2 linked regions of the Caenorhabditis elegans genome follow. The protein of the gene in region 1 purifies or fractionates together with the protein of each later gene. This does not show direct contact. Each region holds a gene or a part of one and is shown in the gene's direction. Other genes may lie near its edges. The genes, in order: W02D3.12 and Y94H6A.2.

Region 1 (3,136 bases):
ACTTAATAATTAGCTAGAACGAGCAAAATCAGCTAGTAATTTGAGAACAAATAATCTCCCGAAGCTGTGACTTGGTGAAGTTAGCAAATTTGAGATTGTAGCTAAAATTAAATTGTTCAATTTTTAATTTGTTTTTTGAGCAGTCTCTTTATGTAATTCGGCCATTTTGCGTGTGTATAATCGAAAATCTAGAACCTTTATGAAATTTTAACATAAATCAAAGAACCCAAACACCAAAAAATCACAACGTTGAACCTTCTTGGCTAGACTATAGACAATTGTCATCATTTTTACCGCATGTCCCCTTGTTATTTCGTTTTCTTTGGCCACTTGTCACCCCGGTTACACTGGGAAAACCAGGCGGCGTATTTAGTTTGATTCGTTTTACTGCGCAAATATGGTAAGTTAAGTTTTCATCATTTTTCAAATCGATAATTTTTCAACAAAAAAAATTGGTTTAATTTTGTTCGCATTGATAGTTTAATTTCAGACTCACAAACGGACAAATTCCAATTATCGGCTGTGGAGGAGTGTTCAGTGGAGCAGATGCATATGAAAAGATTAGGTAAGTGAACTTCCCAGTTCGAGGTCGAGTGGGGAAATTATCAAAAACCATTCCTATCTTGCTAAAATGACCAAATATTATTATAAAACTTTTCAAAAAAAATTTGAAACATTTTTTGTTTCGTTTCAAAAAGCAGTGAAAAATCGGTTTTCCCCTATTTTTCTTTGGAAATCGACGATCAAAAAAATGTTATTCTCCAGTTTTATGTTCTAATTATGTAAAATATGCATATTTCAACATTTTAAAGGTTTAAACATGATACAGTGATATAGATTTTTCGAAAAGTAAAAACACAGTTTTCAACGCCTTTTGACTCAAAATAAAAATTGAATTATAATATTTGACCATTTGAGTACAATATATGGTAAGAATGGTTTTATTGATTTTCCCACAGGCCGTATAGTCCACCGTTATTCAATCAAAGTATTAATTTCAATTTATTTAACTAAATGTAAAATTTCAGAGCCGGTGCTAGTCTGGTCCAACTCTATTCCGCGTTCGTCTATGAAGGATTTCCGGTAATCGGAAAAATCAAACGAGAACTTGTCGAACTTTTACGGAAAGATGGATTTTCGCATGTTTCGGAAGCAATTGGAGCTGATCACAGAGAAAAAACGAAATAATTATATTCCCAAGATTTTTGTTATTTTTTCAGGTTGACTTCATTTTCATGGGTGTTTCAAAATTGTTTTATAATTGAATTATTTTCTTCCGATGTTCAATGTGCCTTTTCATGAGATTGTAGGGTAATTCTTAGTATTTTCTGCATAAATTATTTGATTTCCTTATGTTTTTTTTTTCAATTTATACTAAAGTTTCTGGTTTTCAACCGAAATATATCACTTTTGAATAATTTTCAACGACTTAGAGACCATTTTTTGTTTCAGGGTTCATCAATTATGTCGGAGCTACGTGTCATTTCTCTCGATGAGGTCTCAAAGCACAACTGGGAAGATGCTGATCAATCGTGTTGGATTGTCATCTCCGGAAAGGTAATTTTTTTTTCATTTTTTAAATTTAAATATCGAAATCATTCCTTACAGGTCTACGATGTGACAAAGTTCTTGAATGAGCATCCAGGAGGTGAAGAAGTCATCACTCAATTAGCCGGTAAAGATGCTACAGTTGGATTCCTCGATGTTGGGCACTCAAAAGATGCTATTGAAATGGCCAATGAATATCTCATTGGTCAATTGCCAGAATCAGACGTTCCAAAAGTCGAGACAGCGGCTGCGAAACCTTCGAAAAACGAAAAATCATCATCTCTCCTCAATGATTTCACCGAAATTATGACTTCACCAACATGGACCAACTTCCTGATTCCAACTACAATGGGACTTGTCATTTATGCCGTGTACAAGTGCATGTTCAATTAAATTACCTTAGCTCTTATCCTATTCTTTTGATCTTATGCGCCCACTTTCTTGAAATGCATCAAAGAACATTTGTTTCTATGGACTTTTATATATGTGATAAAGATTTGTTGTCAATATTTTCATATGTTACTGAAGGAAAAATGGGTGGAGCCTTGGAGATATCGATGTAACTTTAGTCGCAAGATTAGTCCTATTGAAACAATTAAAAAAAATATTCAGATCAAATGCTTCGTCAGATTCTTCGTCCAATTTTGAGTATGGATTTTACACAAAAAACAATTTTCTAATTTCTTGACGATTCAGATTCTTCCCGCCGATTCGCAGATATAAAACCAAAACAAAGTGCGAAGGAGAAGGTGATGGCTGAGAAGACACCGAAAGGAGCACTTGATAAAGCAGACGAACAACAATATGAAGATCCTCACCTCAAGAAACATCCGGGAGGTGTGAATAAGTCAACTGGAGAAGTTGGTGGACCAGCTGGACCAGAGCCAACTCGATATGGTGATTGGGAGAGGAAGGGAAGAGTTTCAGATTTTTGAAATGTTTTATTAATTGCTGTTAAAGTCAAGTCAGATCATCATTGTTTTGTAGTGCAAATAAATAAATGTTTTAAACATAGAGTGACATTAATCGTAATAGGGTACACAAATACGAAAATTTGACAAACGAAATTAGAAGAGATGAGAGAGATGAAACGATTATCGTACAGAATAGGGGTTTTGAGTATCATGATCATAAATTCACTGCGGAAAAAAATTAATATTCAACTGCATAGAGAGTTGCCTTCTTCTCCCCTGATCCAGTGACAATGAGTGAGTCGTCGAATGAGATGTCACATGAGAGAACGGAGCTGTTCTCTTTTAGTTGAAAGAGTGATGCTCCGTATGGAGTACGCCAGGCGTTGAGAGCATTGTCCTGAAAAATTGAGATTATGAGGTTTCAATTAGAAAAATTGAGCCAATTACCGTATTTCTTCTATTAATATGGCTGCAATACTATTTTTCGATGGTCTTCCCGCTTGCAAGACTAATAGGGAGTGCAAGAATATTAGGGAGTGCAATACTAATTTTCAGAATATTTTTCTGACTTTGAGCTTACTAGTTTTTTTCTGAAAAAGCTCGAATCTTATGTAAAAATACAAAAAATTTTGATTTTAATTGTAACCTATAAGTTCAAAAACTTCAATTTCGTA
Region 2 (4,747 bases), on another chromosome or scaffold:
ATAGAATACTGATAGCTGAATAAATTTCCTTCAATTTGACCTAAAATTTGTAATGTTTCCCAATAAGGTGTAACCTTTATCACCTCGGCAATTTGACGAACCCTTTCGGCAAAACAAAAAAAAAGTTTTGGCACGCGGCACTTCCCACACAAACGCACATCCCACGCACGCCAATAATTTTCAGATCTATGATTTTTATGTTAAATTCAAAGTTAAAGAAGTGAAGAAGCGTTTTTAATTGTTTTTGTAGTATTTGAAAATTTTCTGTATCGACACTGGCGCCTAGAAAAAACCTTTGAATATTTCATGAATTCAACTTTGCGAAAATTACTCAGTTTTTTTTGTCTTCACAAGGTGTAACGACCCACAAAATCATCCGAGCTTAATCTTCTATTAAAATTCTTGAAAGTCAGATCAAAACGTTCCCCGAAAAATACTAAAATGAGTTTTCCTGCATACTGCTGCCGCCGCTCACATCTATCTTTCTGGCGACTGTGTCATTCAAGGCTTCTATGTCATTCAAACTACTGCCACAGTCATACCATGACAGAACTTTTTTGGATTTTTGTTTTCAAAGAATCTCTAGACCAAGAGCATTCTTTGAACTATAAAAACTTGTAAGATACTTGATGGGTTCCTCGAAAAAAAAAAAGTAAAAATCCCGCAGAATGCCGACTTGCGTGCCATCAAGAACGTGATCTCAAAAGTTCGGAAAGCCTGCAGCGATGCGGTTAGGGAAATTTTAAAAATTTTAAACGTTAATCTGGTCAGTATTTCATGGAGATCAAAATTTATACAAATTGATGTAATAACTCTCGCCACACGTGAAGTTACAGAGCTGCAAACGTGTTACCATACTTATGGCGCAGAAGAAAAATCAATCAACAATAACTTTATTTAGGATACACCTGCAAATATCCAAAACGATTTACGATCATAGTTTTTTCCCAAAAAAGTCTTTTCGAAAAATCCCTCAATCAAGGCGCCGGGTCTTTTTGAATACTCATTTAAGTACCAGTTCACCGGTCCGAAAAAGATAGTAGTGTTGCGCCGAATGATCAACACAAGTCCACATTCATCGCCGAACCGTTCGCAAAGCTTTTCCGCATAATCTCCTGGAGATTCTTCGAAGGATGCTCGATGCAACACCTCCACAGTCGTAGTAAGTACAGTGTACCGCATTTTCTATATTAGTCGCCACTACCATACTTTTATAATGTGTTTAACTGAAGACAATTAATGTTAATGTTAATGCAATATGAACTAATACGGAAAATACGGTATTTATTTAAAGAAAACACCATTAATTAATTTAAATCAATATTCAGCATTCATGACCTTCGTGAGTACGTGCGTGGTCTTCGCGAAACGTTCGGCGCCGAATGTGGCTTTGTGGGGATTATTCGAAAACATAGAAACATTCGCAAACGTTGGGTAAACTGTGACCCAGACGATTATCCCAGAGGACCCGGTGACTGTATTGAGAGATGTTTCAAGGGCAATGGTTCTGACTTTTTTTTTGGTAGTGGCGACTTTTTTCAGTACTGGTACGGTCAAAAGTTTGAGATAATTGCTGGTGTTCGATGAATATTTGTAGTTTTTATTCAAAACCGTTCCATTGTAATAAAAACTACGACATTTTATCTTTTTGCGATTTCTTTTTTTTTAAATAAATATTTTATCTAATACCTTCAAGGAAAACTAATGTATCTTTTACATGTTTTTTGTGAATAAATCTTTTCTTTCTTTTAAAATCTTTTAAAAAAATCAGAATTTATAGTTTAGTTCTTTAGTTCGGAACTCACTTACTATGCCAAAAATCGTGTTCCCTAAATGAGTCACTTGGTACTATTGACATATTTGAGTATTTTCAACACATAATTTTCTTTGACATTTTTGCCCTTTCCGAATTTTTATGAGGAAGACGCTAGCATTCCTGATAAAGAAAATGTCAGTATTCCTCATACTTAGTTCCACAAGAAAAATGGCATGCGTGTAATGTGTAGCACTAGAGTATAAAACAAGAACAGAGAAAAGAAAGATAAGACATCATTGCTTTTCTATTTGGAGACAGTTATATATTTCAAGATGGCTGGTAAGATTCTATTTTTAAAATAATATGAAATTGAATCGAATTCTCAATTTTCCAGCTGTAAACTACACGACGGGATTTATTTCGGTGGTCACTGGCTGCCTAGGAGTACATGGGGCTTATGCGTCCGCCGCAGTGGTTCCGCATTTAACTGCGATTTGTGCATGCGGTGCTATAGTTAGTGCATATGTTACGATGGCTGCATACAAAGATGACAAATCAACGGAGCTGATACTCAGCGAGCTCAAAACGCTCGACAAGAAGATTGGGGAACTGTCACATAAGATGGACGCGTTGTTCGGTGATCTTAAGTCATTTATAACAACGTCTCACTTTTACATGGTATGTTCGGAATAGATATTGGTTCAAAGTGTGGTTACGAAGCCTTCTGCGCAGGAAAAAAGTTAATCACGACCCTTTTTAACCTTCACCCTTTACCCTTACTCAAAATTTTGCAGAATGAGGTCGCTACAATCAAAACGTTGATGAAATACATGCAGGATACGATGAACAATCCTTGTAAATACACAAAAGAGCTATTTCGTGGCGCTGTGACGGATAATAAACCTTTGTGGATTGCAGAGGTAGGACTTATTAAGGAATCACAAGATTTCAATGTTAGACAGCTTCAAATTTCCAGCAAATGATTATAAAACTCGACCAGGAGGAAACGAATCCTCTCAAAATGGCAATGAACTGTGATCCTCTTCGACCAACGGAAACTTTTGAAAAATGGAGAAAAATAATCGACGGAGTGCTTGCCCAATGTGTAGGTACTCACTACATCCCTCACTAAATAAAGTGTATCATATTCAGCTGATTTTGGAGACGTACCAGAATGGAATGTTTTGCGATAAGAACATGATTGGACCGAGTCGTTTAAAGAAGCAAACCGAAGAATTACAACTGAAAATGAATAGATGGGCTGAAGAATACCGTCAAGATCACTCGTACTGGGACGATGGAGTCTTAAGTTTAATCCATAATGTGCAAGACAATAATGAGGGAAGTGAAAATATACGAAATATTTTGACTAAAGAATTGGGCAAGATCATGACAAAGTGAGTATTTTTGTAAATTGACAAGGGACATAAAAGGGTAATTGTGTATTATAACTTTACTTTTTTCAAATTAAATTATGACCGGGGTAGCAATTATTTTATCTGTTAAGTTATTTAAAACGTGAATAGTATTTCCATTATTAGGCTTACAAAGGAAGTATTCCAATTTAACCCCGGTCAATTTAGGCACTTTGAACTGGAAAGAAGTCGCTCTGAAAAATTTTCAATGCATTTTTCACGATTTTCGCAGCCCGTAAAATTCCTCCAAATGTTGATTTTTGCAGATTTCTGATGATTTCTAGGCTTTTGAGGGCCAACCAATTTTTTTCTGGAATTTTTTTAATTTGTGAAAAAATATAAAAGATTTTGGTCCCGAAAGACCAAAAAAGCCAAAAAATCTGCGTTTTCCGAAAATTTATTCAAAAAAAGACAGCCCTGCTGTGAACGTCAGTAATTTTTCTCACATCCACTTACAAATGTAACCATTTTTTGCACACCATATCGCAAACAGTCAGATTTCAAATTGATTTTCCAAAATATTTCAGCCACAAATTTTACGTGATCGTCTACGATTTCTGTGACGGTTCATCTGAGGAGTACCAATTCACTTCATACAGCTATTTCAAACGCAATTTTAAATCTTCTTTCAATCGAAACGGGTGCAATGCTTTTGTTTTACGAAGCCTCAGAACCCAAGATTGCAAAAGGCACGAGGAGAACCTTCAAAGAAAGCTGCAAGCTGCCCTTCCAATGGAATACGAGTTTGTATTTTGCGGCTTAATGGCATAACATTTGATCCAAACATTTTTTCAGCTACAGATTCAAATTGATTGATTATGCGGAAAAGCTTTGCAAACGGTTCGGCGATGAATGTGGACTTGTGTTGATCATTCGGCGCAACACTACTATCTTTTTCGGACCGGTGAACTGGTACTTAAATGAGTATTCAAAAAGACCCGGCGCCTTGATTGAGGGATTTTTCGAAAAGACTTTTTTGGGAAAAAACTATGATCGTAAATCGTTTTGGATATTTGCAGGTGTATCCTAAATAAAGTTATTGTTGATTGATTTTTCTTCTGCGCCATAAGTATGGTAACACGTTTGCAGCTCTGTAACTTCACGTGTGGCGAGAGTTATTACATCAATTTGTATAAATTTTGATCTCCATGAAATACTGACCAGATTAACGTTTAAAATTTTTAAAATTTCCCTAACCGCATCGCTGCAGGCTTTCCGAACTTTTGAGATCACGTTCTTGATGGCACGCAAGTCGGCATTCTGCGGGATTTTTACTTTTTTTTTTTCGAGGAACCCATCAAGTATCTTACAAGTTTTTATAGTTCAAAGAATGCTCTTGGTCTAGAGATTCTTTGAAAACAAAAATCCAAAAAAGTTCTGTCATGGTATGACTGTGGCAGTAGTTTGAATGACATAGAAGCCTTGAATGACACAGTCGCCAGAAAGATAGATGTGAGCGGCGGCAGCAGTATGCAGGAAAACTCATTTTAGTATTTTTCGGGGAACGTTTTGATCTGACTTTCAAGAATTTTAATAGAAGATTAAGCTCGGATGATTTTGTGGGTCGTTACACCTT

What was found.
Region 2: the proteins of W02D3.12 (region 1) and Y94H6A.2 fractionate together in Caenorhabditis elegans (co-fractionation; one large-scale study listed by BioGRID). This does not show direct contact.

The regions. Positions count from the first base shown.
Region 1 is NC_003279.8:6,739,824-6,742,959, forward strand, and holds W02D3.12 (Succinate dehydrogenase assembly factor 4, mitochondrial), read left to right. Parts: upstream 1-2,160; 5' UTR 2,161-2,165; coding exon 2,166-2,196; intron 2,197-2,244; coding exon 2,245-2,483; 3' UTR 2,484-2,557; downstream 2,558-3,136. Other genes in the region: dhod-1 (Dihydroorotate dehydrogenase (quinone), mitochondrial), read left to right, coding at 491-565, 1,029-1,188; cytb-5.2 (Cytochrome b5 heme-binding domain-containing protein), read left to right, coding at 1,465-1,557, 1,609-1,941; Transcription factor unc-37, read right to left, coding at 2,701-2,859.
Region 2 is NC_003282.8:2,728,204-2,732,950, forward strand, and holds Y94H6A.2 (DUF4781 domain-containing protein), read left to right. Parts: upstream 1-2,088; coding exon 2,089-2,095; intron 2,096-2,150; coding exon 2,151-2,434; intron 2,435-2,550; coding exon 2,551-2,676; intron 2,677-2,732; coding exon 2,733-2,861; intron 2,862-2,908; coding exon 2,909-3,153; intron 3,154-3,698; coding exon 3,699-3,914; intron 3,915-3,966; coding exon 3,967-4,201; 3' UTR 4,202-4,219; downstream 4,220-4,747.